4 linked regions of the Schizosaccharomyces pombe genome follow. The gene in region 2 interacts genetically with the main gene of each other region. Each region holds a gene or a part of one and is shown on either strand. Other genes may lie near its edges. The genes, in order: gdh1, cwf19, cxr1 and rsa1.

Evidence for each region.
Region 1: mutations in cwf19 (region 2) and gdh1 together harm fitness more than expected from each alone (negative genetic interaction), as found in Schizosaccharomyces pombe (one large-scale study listed by BioGRID).
Region 3: mutations in cwf19 (region 2) and cxr1 together harm fitness more than expected from each alone (negative genetic interaction), as found in Schizosaccharomyces pombe (one large-scale study listed by BioGRID).
Region 4: mutations in cwf19 (region 2) and rsa1 together harm fitness less than expected from each alone (positive genetic interaction), as found in Schizosaccharomyces pombe (one large-scale study listed by BioGRID).

What each region holds. Positions count from the first base shown.
Region 1 is NC_003421.2:1,417,867-1,423,414, reverse strand, and holds gdh1 (NADP-specific glutamate dehydrogenase Gdh1), read left to right. Parts: upstream 1-2,211; 5' UTR 2,212-2,602; coding exon 2,603-3,958; 3' UTR 3,959-4,284; downstream 4,285-5,548. Other genes in the region: TTT co-chaperone complex, armadillo-type fold subunit Tti1, read left to right, coding at 1-865; lmb1 (plasma membrane LMBR1-like multi-pass membrane protein, human LMBRD2 ortholog, implicated in signaling), read right to left, coding at 4,432-5,548.
Region 2 is NC_003424.3:1,100,591-1,105,782, reverse strand, and holds cwf19 (protein Cwf19), read left to right. Parts: upstream 1-1,975; 5' UTR 1,976-2,035; coding exon 2,036-3,448; exon of another isoform or gene 3,449-3,492; coding exon 3,493-3,760; exon of another isoform or gene 3,761-3,803; coding exon 3,804-4,042; 3' UTR 4,043-4,098; downstream 4,099-5,192. Other genes in the region: Lsd1/2 complex PHD finger domain-containing protein Phf2, read right to left, coding at 1-919; DNA recombination mediator Rad52 (previously Rad22), read left to right, coding at 4,246-5,192. UniProt on the Schizosaccharomyces pombe protein: Involved in mRNA splicing where it associates with cdc5 and the other cwf proteins as part of the spliceosome. Involved in mRNA splicing.
Region 3 is NC_003423.3:3,834,463-3,839,624, forward strand, and holds cxr1 (splicing factor Cxr1), read right to left. Parts: upstream 2,803-5,162; coding exon 1,381-2,802; 3' UTR 935-1,380; downstream 1-934. Other genes in the region: C2 domain protein Git1, read right to left, coding at 1-31.
Region 4 is NC_003423.3:4,331,035-4,335,464, forward strand, and holds rsa1 (ribosome assembly protein), read right to left. Parts: upstream 2,352-4,430; 5' UTR 2,090-2,351; coding exon 1,712-2,089; exon of another isoform or gene 1,654-1,711; coding exon 1,507-1,653; exon of another isoform or gene 1,431-1,506; intron 1,421-1,430; coding exon 1,322-1,420; 3' UTR 1,144-1,321; downstream 1-1,143. Other genes in the region: vps1302 (lipid transfer protein), read right to left, coding at 1-521, 607-759, 822-934, 973-994; protein Dbl6, read left to right, coding at 3,116-4,168.

The sequences.
Region 1 (5,548 bases), on a different chromosome or scaffold from region 2:
GGACGAACAAGGAGAAAAGCAAAAAGATGATGTCGTCGATATGGTAAGGAAAATCACGGAAAAGGCGCAGTTATTCTTATCACATGAACAAATTACGATACGAGTGGAAATGTTAAAATTGTTGAGCTATGGAAGCAATGTTTTGGCTAAGGAGCCAAACACATTTTATCCTGCTATTAATACATTTTGGCCATTGGTCGTTATTCAGCTTGACACGGATAACGAACTGCTAGTAGAATGCGCATTAGAAACTATATATCAAGTTTGCGCCCTTGCAGATGATTTTATGACATCTAGGATTCGCCAAGATTTGCTTCCACGATTGGAGACGTTGTGCCAACGTTGGCATCTTTTCAATGTTGCTCGAACATATTCTAGTGAGCATCGTTTGCAAAGGGCAATGCTAAAAGTAACTTCAGCATGTGTGGCTAACAAATTGAGCATTGTAGTGTATTTGAAGCTTATGGGGATAACGGCACCCATCATACGAGCCATTACTCACATGTCTCAAAAGTATGCGGGGGATGAATCATTGGTGGAAGAAACTTGGAACGCATTTTCCAAGCAAAATCCCGACGCAGTGTATTATGAGAGAGAAGTTCGAGGGTCTCAAATGATTGACACTTTCTCTACTGAATTGTTAATTCCGGGAAAGCAACGTGTTCAACGTACATATCGCCGAACACATGAAGTTTTGGAACCTGTCGGAGCAAAGACGTCGGAGACTGTTTTCAATGATTTGCTTGGGCAACAAGGCAGCGGGAAAACCGAGACACAAGAGGAACCACTCCCTTCTTTGGACAATTTGTTACACTTGAATCAACCGAAAAAAGGAGCTAAAAAACCATTGATTTCCATCATTTAACGATAATAAAAGTGGTTACCAGTTTTAGAATTTTCCGTGTTTTAAAAGAAAATACAAAGAGCCTAAAAATCAGGCAAAGAATTCCATTACATCGCATAAAATTATATTGGCAAAGGCTCGACTTTTTTCATCTTGGCATTATTTGATTTGACTAAGGCTGTACTCGATTCAACTTGTTTCGATTTAGATGAGCCATTTTACCTACATTCAATGAGTCAGACTCAACGAATTTAGCTAAGTTGACGAAACGAGGCTGGCAGCTACCTAAATTATACTAAAAAACAAACTCATCTTGCTACCGAGCACAACGACGATCGCACCTTGTTTCGTAGTTTCGCTAATCTTTCGAATGAACTATTTTCTATCCAATTTTAGATTCAAAGCAAACAGCCACATGATCGGGCAAGGAATAAATGGACAAACGATAGTGGGATAGTGGGTTATCAGAAGACCAAAAAATAAAGAAATTTGAAATTTTTCTAACTTACATCTACGCTACGAATTTCATGACTCTGTTTCGTTTGTCTTTTTTCTATTGAAAGCTAGTCATGACTATGGCTGCTAAGGCGCAATACGTTTGGATGAGCGAATGTTTAGTCCATACTGTAAAACCGAGGCAAGGCCGTTTACTCGAATTTTCGGATATGTATTTGCGATTTGGTCTGCCTGGAAGAACCTACCCGTTTCAGTGTGATTCGACCTATTTCAGTATTTAGCGTTTTTTTCTTTTGGTACTATCCTTAGTTATCCTTGTTATCAGTAAGGGGGCAGCAACTGAAAGGAGTAAAGAATAGACCCTTTAAATGGATGTGAGAGATTGGAACGAGATTAGATTAACAAAGGACTTGGACTTTTCCAGATTTTTTTTCTTAAAAAAATTATAGAAACTGTTAATCAACAGAAAGCGAAAATCTTCTATATTACAACATTAACCTCTCTAAAACATTTTTTTTTCATCTAAAAACATCTTTCCCCCCCCCCCAAGCACCCCATCCCACTAAGGATCTTCTATAATTCCATGGATTTTCCCGGAGGAGCTGCGTTTTCCCCACATTTTCAGTAGGGTGGGTGATAGCCGTTGCACGGACCAATCATTAAGCAATGCTTATCTTATCTTTATTTGGTTGAGCAGGAGACGAAGGAATTCTGTGAGGGGGTTGGCTTATCAGATCGGAAATTTTCCGCTTAAGTAATCTTCTTTTCCACTATCCAATTATAGAGAAAAGAGATATATAGGAGCATTGTGATTGGAGATTTTGACATCATACTTACATCCTATTCGTCTGTTATCTCCGCCATCGCTCTTCCATCAGGTTTATTGCAAGTCGTCAGCCATTAGCAAACGTATGGTCTCCCAAAAAACAAGGTATCTGGTGTGACTGTTGATTATTGCTTGTTAAGTGTATAAATATAGCAGACATGGCCAGCACGTCCCTGAATCCTCCTGCTACACTGCACTGGTACATCTGGTAAGCGTTTTGAACCCGGATCGATATCTCTTACATACTCACGTTGTAAGAGTTTTGTTGGATTGTAGTTAAATTTTGAAAGTCTTTGCGTTGAAGGCGTCGAATACGGATTTGTATAGAACTTTGGATTGTACAGCCTGTATTTGTATTGTTAAAAGTTTTCGAGGTCGCCTTTTTTTGATATCTCGAATTCTCTAAACTTATCATTATTATATAGATATACACTCTATATCACTACCTTCGATTTTGTTTACTTTTTTGGCCCACCATGAGTACCCCATACGAACCTGAATTTCAACAAGCCTACAAGGAGATTGTGGGCTCCATCGAGAGCTCCAAGCTCTTTGAAGTTCATCCCGAGTTGAAGCGTGTGCTTCCAATCATTTCCATTCCCGAACGTGTCTTAGAATTCCGCGTCACATGGGAGGACGATAAAGGTAACTGCCGTGTTAACACCGGCTACCGTGTCCAATTCAACTCGGCTTTGGGCCCCTACAAGGGTGGATTGCGTTTCCATCCTTCCGTCAACTTGAGCATCCTCAAGTTCTTGGGCTTTGAACAAATTTTCAAGAATGCCTTGACGGGCCTTCCCATGGGTGGTGGCAAAGGTGGTTCTGACTTCGACCCCAAGGGCAAATCCGACAACGAGATTCGTCGCTTCTCGCAAGCTTTCATGCGTCAGCTTTTCCGCTATATCGGTCCTCAAACTGATGTACCGGCTGGTGATATTGGTGTCACAGGTTTTGTCGTTATGCACATGTTTGGTGAGTACAAGCGTCTTCGCAATGAGTACAGTGGTGTCGTCACCGGCAAGCACATGCTTACCGGCGGTAGCAACATTCGTCCTGAAGCCACTGGCTACGGTGTCGTTTACTATGTTAAGCACATGATTGAACACCGCACCAAGGGTGCCGAGACCTTGAAGGGCAAGCGTGTTGCCATCTCCGGTAGCGGCAACGTTGCTCAATATGCTGCCTTGAAGTGCATTCAAGAAGGCGCTATTGTTAAGAGTATCAGTGACTCTAAAGGTGTCCTAATTGCAAAGACCGCTGAAGGCCTTGTCCCTGAAGAGATCCATGAAATTATGGCTCTAAAGGAGAAGCGTGCCAGCATTGCCGACTCTGCTTCTCTTTGCAAGAAGCATCACTACATCGCCGGTGCTCGTCCCTGGACTAATGTTGGTGAAATTGACATTGCTTTGCCTTGTGCAACTCAAAACGAAGTTAGCGGTGAGGAAGCCGCCGCTCTTATCAAACAAGGATGTCGCTACGTTGCTGAGGGCTCCAACATGGGTTCTTCTGCTGAGGCCGTTGAAGTCTTTGAGAAGTCTCGTGCTTCTGGTGAGGGTTGCTGGCTTGCTCCTGGTAAGGCTGCCAATGCTGGTGGTGTCGCCGTTTCTGGCTTGGAAATGGCTCAAAATGCTCAATTCTCTACCTGGACTCATGCCGAGGTTGACGCTAAATTGGCTGGAATTATGCAAAACATCTTTGAACAATCCACCGATGTCGCCTCCAAGTATTGTGACTCTGGCTCTAACAACATTCCCAGTCTTGTCGATGGTGCCAACATTGCTGGTTTCTTGAAGGTTGCTACTGCCATGCAAGCCGTTGGTGACTGGTGGTAGACTTCATTCGTGAAATGTTTAGGCATTTTTGATTCACTGTATCTGTATATGTTTTTTCAAGTCACTCGCTTTTCTGTACCTCTTCTACTTTACCAATTTTTTTAAAAAGCTATGAATCTATTAGATGATTATGATGCATACGAAAAAAAATAAATCAGTCTTTGAATTATTCTCACAGATGCTTCGAATACGAAGTACCCGTAATTATGTAGACTTTTCATGTAATAAAAGGATCATTTGATTTTCTAGTTCCGCTCAAGGCGCCTCCTTTATTCAATTAATTTTAACTGGTATTTGATAGCTGTATGAAATTATTATTTATGAGAATCCTTTGAAGAATTTACTAAAAAGAATTTTTTAACGTTATGTAAATGATAGACTTGTATAAGAAAATAGTTGAGAAATAACAATTGCTGTTAAAAATGTGAAGAATAGACTAAATTATTAAAATACATAGGGCTCATAACGGTAAATTAAACATGGGCATTATTTGTACCCAAAAGAAGGGCTCTGCCTTCAGCTAAATAGGCAGCCGAGGTTTCATTAAACAGATCATCATCGTTTTCTGAATTCAGTGATGAATCATCAAAGTCATCGGAAGAGCTGGCACTGGATGATTTGCGCAGCGTAATGGAATAAATGAATTGTCGCAACCTATATTTTAAAGAAATCATAGAAAAAATAATCGGCAGTAGTATAAAGGTTGGATAACGTTTGCTAATAAGATTTCCAAGTGGTAAGAGGTCAATACTCTCACCATAGAATTGATGGAATTGGGTGGGATAAGGTTGTAGAGAAACAAAGTTATAACAAAGAGGAAGCGTTAAGCGACAAAGTTGAGATGCGAAGTATATCAAGGAGGCCGTATTTGTAGCTCGGAAAGGAACTAATGCATAATAGTAATGTGGCGCAAATTGAGTTCGCATCAAGGATTTGTACGTGCAGTATCGCATGTAATAAACAAATAAAAACGATACAAAAATAGAAGTGGCAGACGAATTGGTAAACTTTTGTAAGATAATACCAACCAAGGAATATTGAGTGTGCAAAAACACTTCTGATACCACAATGATTACACTCATTGAAGCCATAAATATTGAGAACAAAATTCTAAAAGCTGGAAGAATCCAAACGTAAAATGCATATGCAACGACAGGGTGTATTGGAATATATGAGTCTGGTAAGTATAGACGATAAGAGCCAGATGCTTTAGCAGTTTTGATCAGCATAATACGATTATATTCTTTTACCATTTGATTCCAAGTAGTTTGTAAAGCGATCACGTTAGACATTCCATTTGGAGAACTGTGAGGATTGAATGCGTGATCAGTAAGAGATGAAGTAAAAAAATCGCTGCTAGATTGATTCCGGCCGTTATTTAAGCTAATGGATGAAGATGGTAAAGAGTAGCTCTCGAGCCGAGCTTGAAGTTTGCTGTATACTCCGACAGCCTGGCGCTCAAGAAGCGCGGCACGTTTTGTAATAAATGCCTTTTTCCACATACTAACCGGGACATACACAAAACCATTTCCCAGAAGAAATATGACAAATAAGAGTCCCCAAAAGTATGTAAGGGAAATCACCAATTCT
Region 2 (5,192 bases):
AAGACAGATTTAGTTCTCGTGCCGTAGTTCCAGTTACGAGAGGCGCTTGCTTTTTTCTCCTAATGCAATCATCACAAAACCATTCTCCATTGGGGGAATCTAAAAGTTCATCAGAAATATAGGGTTCATGACAAAGTTGATGGAATGGAGTGTTACAACCATCACAGAAAACGATGCGATTTTTTGGTGGAGATTGAAGTCGTTGACAAACCGAACATTTCATAGCTAATGCGACCACAGGTCGACGACCTGGGCCACGTCGTCTAGTAGGTAATTTTACAAGGGGATCGAAATGATTAGGGCGATGCACTTTTCTTCCTGATTTTGTTTTGACACCTTCCAAATTAAATTGCTCTTCCCTACCATCTTCAGTAGAAAAGAGGGCGTCAGCGGTGTTGTCACGTTCAATAGCCAAACTGGCAGGCCATGATCTTTTCCGAGCAATGTTCATAGCAATTGACATAGGAGGTAATGGCGATGAACTTGCAGGAACATTTGGGGGTAACGCAGATTTTGTTTGGGAATCAGCACTTCTATGATGCGCATAATTAGATGAAGATGCGTCTTCAGTGAAAGGTGCCTGTTCGCTTTTTGCATCGGTTTCCTGATTTTTACTAGATTCTATTTCTTTAGCAACATCATCATTTTTGTACGAACCGAAAGCACCTGACTCCTTGTTTGGCTCGTGAAAGTGTTGGAACTGATTTTCCAAATGCATGTTTGAATTCACGTTAGGATTTTGTATATCCTGAAAGGCTTGATCTATTAGCACAGAGCCTCCATTTTGATTAGATTCCTCCCCCTCAAACATCGTTGGATGCAAATCATTGGGAAATCGACGACTACCGTCGAATTGAAAAGGATATGATGCCGCTTCAAAAGAACCGCCATCGTCGTCATAGTACGATGAATTCGGCATTAGGTTTTAAATCATTCATATGCTCATGTAAAAAACAAATGAAAAAATGAAGCAAATGGCAAAAAATGCGAATGTGTAAGTTCAACACGCGTGTTTGGAATTTAGGTGAGATTTAACGCAACTTATAAATCGTTTGCTGCTGTTACTCCAATTATGTTTTGCTAGCGAAATGAGATTGATCATCACTATATCTCGCTTATTCACTTCTCACTACAACTCACTGTCTAGTCATATATAAATACTGCACGTATCCATGAAGAGCTGAAATCTCACATTTATTAGAGCTTTTTTATTTTTAATTTTGTTAAATTTAATTATTCATGCATTAACTAGTCATAGCTATAAATATGAATGAAAATTTGGTCTTTCCTTTGTTTATATTTCCTAGATGGCCTAACAGCTATAATTGATTGAACTTGTATGCTATTAAAGGCGATAAACAGACTTCTTTAGTACTTTGCTAAAGAAAATATAATTGCAATGATCCAATTACACTGGAAATACAGGTATAAAAAATCGTCACAGTTTGGAAACAAACAATGCTTTTTTTTCTGTGGCTGTTGTGTAGCTTTGCTAGTATCATAAACTCATTGTACACTAGCGCAAGACACACTATACAGTAGTTAGCGCGAGGTATTTTATTATTCTTTCCAACTTATTTGTAATGAAGTTCAAATAAACAATGGGTAATTTAGTACTACTAAAGTCCTTGCGTTATTTAAAAGGTTTTTGTTTGAAGTTAGTGGTATATATTTTGGAATCCTAAAGTTATTGTATCGCCTTTCACTGTCAATGTGGAATACTGCAAAGGCCGATACTCCTTCTTTCAAACTTAATTGTTTCACTTTCTTTTCTTTCCATTTCAACGCAATATTTTACAATTTTTTTTAATTTAAAAGAGAATTCTGATCATTGTCTAAACTAAACTCCTGGCAAAACTATCATTTGCGTTGCTTGTTTAGATCTGCATAGTGCCTGAACCACTTGACTTAACGAATGTACTACTACCATCGTTAAGTTACAATAAAAACATTATTTCCTTTTTCCCACCATTTTGCCTCTAATTATTGTTAAAAATTATTTATTTCATGAATTAATATTAAAATAACGTCCATTATGGAAAAGGAAAAGCTTACAAATAGGACCAGTACTCACAAATTCAATGAAACTGACAGAGAAACAAATCACTCTAGAAGGCATCGTCACCACCACTCTAGGCATCGTGAGAGCAAGCATGGACGACATGATCGCAGTGAAAGGCCAAGCTCTAGAGAAGCAGGTGACCGAAGTAGGCATGAAAGATTTAGTAAAGAGCCATTGGAGGTAAAGAAACTTCCTGTTGAAAATGAATACTTTGACTCCAAATTCGCTTCTGCTTCTTCCATGCCATCCTCCAAAGACAATCCACAGAATAATGACTTTACTAATTCATTGCAAGGTTTGGATTTTGGTACGTTCGGTTCGCGTATACAAAGAGAACCTATTGACCGAAAGTCCAATAAGCCTGGTGAAATTTTTGTTGGTGCAACATTACAGAATGAGAGTTCGACGAGTACAGAACATAAAGATATAGAACAGCTTGAAACCGAAATTAATGAGTCAGGAATTAATTACAAAATTGGTGATAATGGCTCTCGATGGCGTATGATGAAGCTCAAACGCGTATTTGACATGGCTCAAGACCAACGACGCCCCGTTGAAGAAGTAGCTCTGGAACGTTATGGTTCATTGAAAGAATTTGATTTTGCCTTGGAAGAAAGAGATGAGTTAGAGCTTCGAAAACGAACTCGAAAAGTTCAGAAAGAAGTTCCTACTGGCGAATTATATGAAAAACGATGTGCTGATGAATTTAAGACTAGAAAAGATTCTGGTAATGGCGCTACATACTACAAAGTAATACCTGACCCTTCTGTAAATAAAGATACTCCCACTGAAAGCGATTTGAATAGATTAAAAGCTGATTTGTTACGTGCTCAACTTAAAAAGGATCCTAACTATGAGTCTTTAGAAAGGGAATATCAGAAAGCTTGTGATGACTTCGAAAACTCTTTACACCCTTCGGAAAATTCTAATTCGCAAGCAACCATACCATCAAAAAAAAGAAACTTCGACGATCCTACTATTGATGAGATGGTACAGGAAGAAAAATTGTTGAATAAACAACGGAAATACGGCCAGAATTATGAATACGCAAAGCAGATTGCAAAGGATAAAACTTATTCTAACAATCTGGATTATTTGGACGAAAATGCAGGGAAACTTTCTAATCGAATGAAGCGCGGAGACGTCAGTCTAGCTCAAATTAGTAGTGGTGGGGATCTTAAAAAAATTAATCATGTTTTGGACACTTGTCCTCTTTGCCTAAATTATGAAACACAACCTTTGGCACCAGTAATATCTTTAAGTCATCGTGCTTATGTTTCTTTACCAACTCAACCCGAATTAGCTAAATATCATTGTTTAATTGTTCCTACAGGACATCGGATAAATACCCTCAGCTGTGATGAGGATGAATGGGATGAAATCAGAGTATGTTAATATAGTAAAAGGAAATAACTAACAAACCTTTTTAGAATTTTATGAAATGCATCGCCCTAATGTTTGATTCCATGAATCTTGGTGTTATTTTTTATGAAAACGCGCCTTCACCACAAAGATATATGCACACAGCTATTGAGTGTATTCCAGTCTCTAAAAGGATCCTCTCACTTGCACCTGCTTACTTCCGTGAAGCTTTGTCTACTTCTGACGAGGAGTGGTCTCAACATCGAAAAATTATTGATACATTAGAAGGTTCGAAGAAGTATGGAAAATGGGCTTTTCGAAAAATGATGGTTAAGGGTATGTTTGGAAAATCGTAATCATTTATTTTACTAATGATTAGAATTGGGTTATTTTCATGTTTGGTTCAGTATTGATGGTGGCTACGGGCATGTCGTGGAAGACGAGAAGGCATGGGGGAGGCACGATCAAGTTCCTAGGCAGGTATTTGCCAGTATGCTAAACCTTCCTCCTGAAGTAATCAGAAGGAAAGGTTCTTGGACAGGTAAAAAAGATCCACGCGAAGATATGTTTCGCAGTCGTTTTGAAAAATTCGATTGGACCAAGGGATTAATTGATTAGTAATTACGAAAATCCTTTAATTCAAATAAAATTTTGTTTTTATTTTTGTATCTACATTCTTTAAGTAATATTCATTACTGATGATTTGTAAGATCTTTATTTTCATTAAGTGGTTACTCGCTATGCTACCTTATCTTTCTTTATTACTTGGTACCTGTCCATGTGCACACAGCTAATATACTGCTTCATATAAGCTAGAAGGGATGTCTTTTGAGCAAAAACAGCATGTAGCATCAGAAGACCAGGGCCATTTTAACACAGCGTATTCTCATGAAGAGTTTAACTTTCTTCAAAGCTCCCTAACTCGAAAGCTTGGACCTGAGTACGTTTCAAGAAGGTCAGGTCCTGGGGGTTTTTCAGTCAGTTATATTGAGTCTTGGAAAGCAATTGAGCTTGCGAACGAAATTTTTGGATTTAATGGGTGGTCTTCGTCGATACGCAGCATTAATGTTGACTTTATGGACGAAAATAAGGAAAATGGACGTATCAGTCTTGGCTTGAGCGTGATTGTTCGCGTGACAATCAAAGATGGTGCCTATCATGAAGATATTGGATACGGTTCTATTGATAATTGCCGTGGAAAGGCTTCAGCGTTTGAGAAATGCAAGAAAGAGGGCACTACAGATGCCTTAAAACGCGCTCTACGAAATTTTGGAAACAGTTTAGGAAATTGCATGTATGACAAATACTATCTTAGAGAAGTTGGAAAAATGAAACCACCCACTTATCACTTTGATAGCGGTGACTTGTTCCGTAAAACAGATCCTGCAGCGAGAGAGTCTTTCATAAAAAAACAGAAAACATTAAATAGCACGAGGACTGTTAACAATCAACCTCTGGTTAACAAGGGAGAACAATTAGCTCCTCGTAGAGCTGCAGAATTAAATGACGAACAGACAAGAGAAATTGAAATGTATGCAGACGAAGAGCTAGACAATATTTTTGTAGAGGATGATATAATTGCTCATTTAGCAGTAGCAGAGGACACAGCCCATCCTGCTGCTAATAACCACCATTCTGAAAAAGCTGGCACTCAAATAAATAACAAAGATAAAGGTTCACACAATTCAGCTAAACCAGTGCAGAGAAGCCACACCTATCCTGTCGCTGTTCCACAAAATACCAGTGATTCCGTTGGCAATGCTGTGAC
Region 3 (5,162 bases), on a different chromosome or scaffold from region 2:
AATCTGGGGGTTCAACACTAGTGAATCCCATTTTAAGCCTTTCCGATTTGCTGAGTAGAGAGTGCAAAAACCTGGTGTTCGGAATGTATGAAGGTGTTATTTAATGGATGAAGGTAAAAATAGCGATAGGTGATGGTTTATGTTGTCTGCTTCTTTGGATCGGTGAGTAAATTATTTAGTAGATCAAAATTCATTTATAAGCTGGATTTCAATAATGTGTACACAATTATGTTAATGATCGTTCCAGGTCTAGAGATTAAAACTTTTTCACAGGTTAAAAAATAAAAAATAAAATTAATTATAAGAATTGTCGCTTTCCAGAGTCTTATTTAAGAGTATCGAGCCAGGTTAATAAAGTGTAACGTCAAAGGTTGAATACTAATCACAGCGTTGACAAAGTATATAAACGCACGAGTTAAGCCCGTTTATACTTAATCGCAAAACTGAATTTGATGATGTATTCGTATTAATGGGAAAGGCTACGATTTAAAAAGATTTTGAGCCTATACTATAAGTGCGTTTTCTGTCAGTTGTTTATTGCGACAGTCGCCCCCCTGGCGTAGTAGAAGTTGCAAGTCGCGTTGTTACTCTGTAAACAAGAGCTTTAAAAATGGAGTAGATTTAAATGGATGAAAAGTTAATAATAGATTTTAATTGAATGGATTTTTCGATAAATAGGGAGTATCATTCAAATAAAATTGAATTTAGAGGCGGTTGATTTTTGGTTGAATGAAATGTTTTGAAAATGGCGCTGATCATTTAACTAAACTCATACCTAAAAGAACGAATGATTAAACCAGAAGCAACTTAAAAGTTGTTTATCAATGGGAAATCTCAATAAGCACTTACATACCTTGCCTAAACTGCATTCTCCAGCGACCTAAAAATCTCAGTGCGATAATTCTGAAGTCCATCATTACTATTAAATTTAATCTTTTATATACGTCGTATGAAAACCTTTTTCTTGACTATAAAAATCATGACAAATGAAAATTTCGGCTAAAAAAACGTAGCATTTCATATCATAAACAGGGAGAGATGAATATAAAAACCGTCAATCCTTAGAAAGGAAACGTAATGAAGCTATGTCCAACAAAAATTTAGTTCAAGCTTTTCTTCGATAATTCGAATTCATGAACACATGTAAAATGCTTATTAATCAATTATGCTAAGGGACTCTCTTGATTTAACGTCCAAAATAACAGATAGAGTTTACAAGAACTCTCACGTTTCTCGAAACAATAATTCTCCGTGATTCATTATGAACATCAAACTTATTAGAATAGATGGAAAATTATTCATACTTTATAAAAACCAAGAATGATGATAAAAAGTATGAGACATGCCATTATAAAAAATTCAATCGCAAGTACTTTTACATTACTCTTCAGCTGATAAATGCTTTCCTTGTGTGTTAGGAACAGGCATGGTATCAGAGTTGCCGTTTTCAGGAATATGCATTTGATCAGGTACGAGGGCAGGAGATCCAATCGAAATTTCCATGCCAATCGGTGCACCCCTCGTTTGCAGGGCTAAGGGGGAAGGTGCAACAGCCGGATATGGACTAAACTGAGCCTGGGGTGGTAAACTCATTGCCGGAAATAATGAGGTAGCAGGAATAGTAGTTTGTGAAACCTGAGACTGATAATTCAAGGCAGGAGCCGCAATTGGATTCTGATTCCTTCCCCAAGATAATCGGATACGAGAATTGCCCAAAGGATAACCCTGCAACTGATTGATAGCAATTTCAGCAGACTGTCGGTTGACAAATTGCACAAATCCACAACCTTTTCCAGGTGGAATTTTGACATAAACAATTTCTCCAAAATTTTGAAAAAGATACTTAAGCTCCTCTTCAGAAACAAATTTTGAGAGACCGCCAACAAATACGGTTGAGTTTGCTGTGTCAGCAAACTGAGGAACAGGCTGTGCAGCACTATAAAATCCAACTGGTGGCATACTAACAGGTACAACGTTCACAGGACTAAAAACATGAGCCTTACTTTTAGGAGTGGCTAATCCCACCCGAATAGGACGATCACCACAAATTTGACCCTGCATTTCTGCCAATGCAGATTTCTGATCATTTTCGTCCGTAAAACGGACAAAACCATATCCTCTTGACACATTTGTTTGAGGATCAGTCATGATTTTGGCCGACTTGCATGAGTTATATCGAGATGCGAAGAGAGAATACACATCAAACTCATTGACATTGGGTGACAAGTCTCCCACAAATATGGAATATTCTGAGGCCTTTGAAATAGACTTTTCACGTAATCCGCCTCCAGAGGCCCAATTAAGTTTAAACAAATGATTTGTACCAGGAATTGGTTTGTTGTTCATACTCATCGCGCTTGAAGCTTCATGAGGAGATGCGAATTCGACAAAACAATAGCCAGCATTCATGCCTGTGTACCTGTTACGAATAAGCTTTACTTTGACTGCCTTTCCTAAAGTATTCCAAACTTGCTGGATAAATGCTTCAGTAACCCAAGGCTCTAATTCACCCATCCAAAGCGTCGTTTTTTGATAGACGTTTTCATCTCTTGATGAGCCATAGTTGCTAGTATTTTCGGAATTTCCAGATTCGTTGGATGCCATATTTGGAGAAATCGGATCTTGAGATTGTACGGGTTCATCATTTGATTTATAATCATTGTCCACTTCTTGGTCATCTTGTTCATTGAAGGAGTTATCTTTAACCAAAGTATCCGTATTAGCTGGTTGTTGGCTTTGTTCGTCTATCGAATTATGCGATTCCTTGGGTAAAATTTCAGACTCAGTCGGTGAGGAAGACATTTTAAAAATTTTAGCAATTAATAAAAGAGTGGATTATACTAGAAACCAAAAAAAATCGACACACTATGCTCACGGTAGAGACAGAAGGCTGAACTAAGTTAGATGAAAGTTTCGACAATGGATATTTGTGAAGATGAAACAATGAATAAATCGCCAAAAGGACTAATTATCACCACAAAAATGAGATGATGTACTGTGTATACAAAACACAAACTCTTAAAATAACTTTGGTGAGTTAACGGAAATAACTTATACGGTTAGTTGTCCAAGAAAAAGTACAAACTGGATTGTAGTCGATCAAACACAAAGTGAAATGAACGAAGGTAGAGAAAATTATTAGTTGGTACTAGGCCAATTAGTTAACTCAACGATCCAAACGTAAAAAAATATGAATCAAAGTTAAGTAGTAAGTCTTCGATAACTGATAAAGAGTCTAGAAGAAATTCAAATAATAAATTAGGAGTTTCCAAAAAAAAGAGGTGTCTTTAATAAAAAAAAATCTAATTCAAGGAAAAAAAACTTTTCAATGTTTAATTGCAAACGAATTATCAGTTAATGATAATATATTAAATTAATTGAAAAGTCAACTCAAAAGTGAAAATGTATGCTTGTAAAATGCACACAATATGCAATGTCTAAAGGAAAACGGAAGAGAAAGTTCAATTTAAACGGCAGAAGGAATAACAACGATACTTGGGTATCGCTGAACGCAGAAACGAAAAACGAATATAGCAATTAACGTAAACACGAGAGTCTACTGCAATCAAAATAACAGCAATTGCGCTTTAAACCTACGAGCAAAAAGAAAGAGAAGAAAATATTAAAATAAAAGACCTCAAAAAAAAAAAAAAGCGAAATGCTAACTTCAAAATCAAAATGCAATTTTTAACTCAAATTTGACGCAATTCCCTCGATATTACTTTCTATATGTAGCTCAATTAAAATATAAGAAAATGAGAAATAATATAAGCACAAGGACAAAGGAAACAAAGGAATTGTTCAAATACGGGGTTTCGATGTTGTAGCGTAGGTAAGTTGACTTATCTATCAGCACATTGTTAGGCAATCTATTTATGCAATTATAAATTATTGATTTTTTTAAGGTTTTTCATTTACATAAGTATTTTTTTGAATTTTATTTGTGCAACCATGTTATTAATTATGTCTTTTGAATTTCTTTTCTTATGCAGTTTTGGATTCCTGCGCAGGGTTCCATCGCTTCAGTCATAGTAGTAAAATGAGGTAAATGATTTACGTTGCTTGAAATGTGCAGATCCTACGGATGCGTCATATGGTGCTGGCAAAAGAAAAATGCGAATTTGTAGGTTTAGAGACAGCTTAAATTTTGCTTTCACCGTTTCCATTAATTCTATAAACTTTCATTTTTCATACAGTTGTTTGTCTTTGTATCCACCTGGCTAAATACATTAGAGGTTAAGCGCCAACACTCAGTCATATAAATATTGAATAGTAAGCCGCTAAAGAGAATTCAAGCGACACTACTTGATCAATTTTTAATGAAAGATACCATTATAAATTTAGAAATACAAATAATAATAGTTTTGAAATTTGGTTCTGCTATCAATACCTACGCATTGCACTTTAAAGACAAAGTAATTAGGAAAAAGGTAATGAATATTTTTAATTTAAAAAAAAAAAAAAAAAAAAAAAAAAGAAATTTAGGTATTAAGTAAAGCCATATAGCTTAAAATGCATGGGTATGTAACAGTATTCATATAGATTAGTTGAATTTAGGGGGAAACAACTTTAGAAGAAAGTAGAACATATAAAAACATTAATTAAAATATTTGTTTATTAAAACAATTTACAGCTGCTTTGATACTGCACGGACGATGCTTAAGCTATTTGAAACGTTTAATTAGAAAATTTGCAAAATGCTGCTTGGGAAACTAAGCAAGAAACATCAAAAATTTTTAAAATCGCTTTTAATACTACAATGACAAATTAGAACTGGGTTAAAAATGCTCTCAATTTATTTATTTATTCCGTCCATTTTCATCTCGCTACTAACATTTTTCAAGGATTTAAAAGTTTCACAGTTCTGTTTTTATAAAATATGTATACAGATGACTCTTCAATACCCCTTTGATTTCTTTCAGGTTTACTGATCAGCATTTTTATAAAACTCTCCCAAAACAGAAATTATTATAATAAGAATTTTTTATGATTTAAAAAATTTAATTTCTTTCCTTCCATTTCGAATGATCACAAATTCATGTACACATTTACCCTTGTTAACTTACATTTGGTACTTATTCTAAACTTTTGGGGCGACTGAGTATCACCACACCAGTTTGCCTACCTAAAATTACACACTACATTTTAAACACAAAGCATTT
Region 4 (4,430 bases), on a different chromosome or scaffold from region 2:
GGAATTTCAGGAGTGGGTAATTTGTTAATAGTAACTTTTGCCATGCCAGTTACTGGAGCAATAATATAATCTTTCTCTCGCGATTGAAAATCAGTAATTAAAGCTTGAAAGGTGTTCATCAGTTCATTAATATCAGTTTTATCAATGCATTCCGCAGTCTCATCAGAATAAATACCAAATCCTCGTAAAGAACAGAGTTTGTAGATAGTTTGGGATTCGGTTTCTACAAATGTCGAAGTCCATTCCTCATTACAAGATTCTATTGAAAATTCGGAAAGAAGCAATCCAAAGGAATAGCCACCTGGAACAACATTGGAAACAGGTAAGTGTTCAAAACGTATGTGAATATCTCGGATATTTATTTGAATATTATCAATCATTCGAGTAATCAAAGACTCGGTAAAAGTTTGTGTCTTAGGGTCATATGCCGTTTCTGCTTTGCCAATCTGTGAAGCCTCCCACAGTTGCATTTGTCTTCTCTTTGACTCTAAGACTTGATGTGGGTCAACTTCTGATTGCGACTATAAATATGGTTAGTAACTGCTCTAAAACAACGTTATATTGTCCTAAGTGCTGTTTTATTCTATATTCATATTTGATCCCTACCTTCACATTTTCTTCCATTGAAGCCAAAGCACGAATTCCAACTATATATATTTCAACTGGTTTATTCTTTAAAGAAGACCATGGTATTTTGAGTGTCAGTTCTTCAACCAAACCATATTGAACCGAAATTGGTAATTCTAGTTTACGGAAAGCCTAACAATTTTATTAGATACAAAATCAAAATTTTCAATATAATTCATCTTATAATCTCATACACTCCGTTTCAACTGCAAGTTTCGTAGCGTAACATCTCCGTTCCAAACAGCGACTTTTAACTGAGTAGCGTCAAAATTCTCAATGTATTCTCCTAAGAGTCGATTTAAAAAATCTTTTTCGTTAGTTTCGTATTTAATACAAAAGACTTACTTGCTAGTAACCCTTCTAACATATTGAAGGGAATACGGTGAGAAACAGCAAACTGTAAATATTTTGAACTTTGCTTTACAGATGGTTTCGAACGCTACAACTACTGCGTTGAGGGTTATAAAGATAGAATGTCAGAGCATGACGTGAACGCCTACACCATAAGTAACATTAAGCTAAGTAACAGACATTTTCAAGAAAAGAAAAATCTCGTTTACGTTTGTAAAAATTTCAAGAAATCCATTAGAATATGTTAATAAAAAAAATTTAGTTTCTGTTTTCTTTGAAGAAGTAGCTACTAAAGTCGGAGTGGTTCAGCGGTAAATCATAGCAAATAATTTTTTGGCAGCAGTCATGATACAGGTTTAACAACCATTCCCATTTTTTTAAGGTATAATTTCATGAATTGAAGGAAGAAGATGTTTTCTTGCTCCAATTGAGTATTAAGCAACTGGAAAGTTCAATGTTAGTAAAAAGAATCGGATAAACACATTTTTCATAACCAATTTTAAATGGCTAAAATGAAAATATAAGTACCTTTGTATAGAGACTCTTTTTTTTAGGAGGTCCTCTTTTTTCGTGAGGCTCATGGTGTGCTAAAGGGTGCTGAGATGGAGTAGGTTGAGCGTCTATCGATTGTGAAGTATCTGCAGCGCCTAAGTTCTCCATAACTTTTTCTTTTTCCTTATTACCATCAATTAGTACGTGTGAATACAACTAGAGCAAACCTAAATAGACATACTTGTTTTGAGCGAATATTACTCTCTGTTGGCCAATTCTTTTTTCTCTCCTGAATCCAAGCTTCAATTTCCTCAGGTGTATTAATGGAAATATTCCTTCGCTTCAAGTATTCTATTCCATCAACTGCACAAGCTCCCCTAGTATTTCCGGCATGTGAACCCCCTCGAAAACTTCTCCCTCTTCCTCTTCCACTGCCTCGCTTTGTTGGCTTAAAAGAAAGATCTTGATCCATTCGCCGTTTCCCATGCCTTCCTACATTTTCTGTCTCACTACTAGAATTCTTTTGAGTCAAGGAGGCAGAAGAATTCGTTTGCTCAAAAGGTTTGTTTATGATGGGAGGAGGTGGAGGTTTATCATATATAAATGAGGTAGGATTCATCCCAAATAACTCAAAGCTTCAAGATAAATTCTCAAATTGAAAAATTAGTTTTCAAAGTCAATGTATAATCACCGCAACGCGAAATTGCAAAACACAATCAATAGAGTAAGGAACGTGTTTCTCATAAACGAGAATTTACAGAAATTCCAAAATGTAATATATGATTATTTTTAAACGCTGTGTTACCCTGATTAACAGATTCAATTGAAGTATGGTTTTAAAAAAATTTACGATGACTGGTTTTGATGTAGGTGTGTGTATCAGAAAATATAAGACGTCGATGTAGGACTAAATTAGGTTTTGCACCTTTCGCTTGATAAAGCAATTATAAAAAAAATAAGCCTTTAATTGCTCCAAATTTCAAATGGAGTTGTGAATAATATGAAAAAGTGGCAAAAAACATTGAGTGTATACAGCAGAATCATACACCCCAACTCAACAACTAACTTGAAAACGAGATGTAATGTAGAACAGCAAAATACTACTAATTTCACAGTATTAGCTCCCTATTGAAATAATTAATTATTCTACCAACACTAGACTATTTGTGCAATATTTATTTCATTCAGTTTAATTTCAGTTATATAGAGGGACAGTGATAATATCCAGAATGTATAAGCTAATTTCACTTGTCGATTTTTTAACTTTTGAATTTCCTGCTTTACATCTCTGAAGCAAATTAAAATTGATGAGTGTATCAACAATATCCTTACTTGAATATAGTCTGTCCTAATATTTACTATGTATAAAGAAGCGGCTTATACAATTCTCATTTATTGATTAAGTTAATTTCTGTTAAGCTTTACTATGAGAATGGTGATTTGAATCCTCTTTTGGAATTAACTATGTTTAAGCTTATGTTTTGTACTGCTCCCGAGATCTTAACTGAAGCCTATCGTCACCTCGTCAATACGAATTTTTTTCAATTGTAAAGCATATGCAATAAAATATAGAATGATTATTTAATATAGGGCCTTTATATTATTTTTAAGTCTTTGTGGTATTTTGTAGGGATATACTGTCGAAATGGATTCATTTCATCCAACACCTGGAAAACCGACCACAGCAACATCAAATTCAAGTCTGAACTTTTTTGTAAGAAACAGAGAGAAAAGTATTAGGTGCTCAAGCTTGCATCAAACTTTTACAGCCCCTTCTCCTGAAGCTTCACCGTCAATCGGATTAAGATATGTAAATTACTCAATGAGCGACGAAACTGATGAATCTATGTTTCCACTTGATTCAGAACTGACCGATATGGAAGATGATGATACCGAGTACATATCAGACTCTACAACAGACTTGCCGTCCGCTGCCATGGCTAGAGGAACTAGGCAGTTGAGTTACAATGAAAATTTGGATCAGCGTTCGTTTTCTAAGACTCCAAATAAACATATTGAAGTAAAAAATTTAAAGGACCTTTGTAGTCCCTCTCATTCTGGAAGAATTTCGAAATCTTTGTGTCCTGTGTTACGAAGAAAGTCTTTGCTTCCCAAACCGAAAATGTTCCAACGCGTAGCCAGTGCCTTGTATGAAGAATCATCTCCTCTGGAGTTGGAAATCCGTAGTGAATCGGAATTTTCCAAGATGTTTTTCGAGCCTAAAAAATCATCATCCTTTGTTTCTAGAGCTGCTTCGCCTGCAATGGTAGGTCCGGGTGTACCGTTTTACAGTTCTATAACAGGTGCAAATGGTAATGTTCTCGCACCATCAGGATCTTTGAAAGCTGTTGAGAACTCTGATGTAATTGAGTCATCTGCAGAGGACAGTAGTAATACGGACAATCCATCTACTAAGCCTTCGAATGAGATGCCCATATCTCCTCTGCTTTCCAGTTCTGTATTTTTTAAGGATACAGAAATGTCAACTCCGAATAGCAATCACTCCAGATCCCGTACCCCATCCTCGAAAAAGCGAACTCGATGGGGCGAAGAAATAATCGACTTATCGAAGAGAAGAGCTGTATCTCCTTCCATTTATTATGATTTGGATAAGAAATGCTCTCCTATTCATTCTGTTATGGTCAGCCCCTTGAAGATTAAGGATACTCACGAAGTCTTGATGAATTTAAAGTTATGAACTAGCTCACGCTGCGAAGTGTGTATTTATTTGTACAATAATTGAATAATTAATTTCCTATCTTTTTACGCAACTTATTTTGTAGTAGCTTTTTATCATGTTGAATCTAGTTTACAATGTTACAGCGCCGTTATTTTTATTACTCTTTATAAAGAACAGCTTGTTATCATATCATTGTTTTGATATGTAAACAAAAGTCCTAAAAATCCGTTTACGGTTTCAGCAGCATAACATTATATTCTAAAATTTAAAACGACTTGAG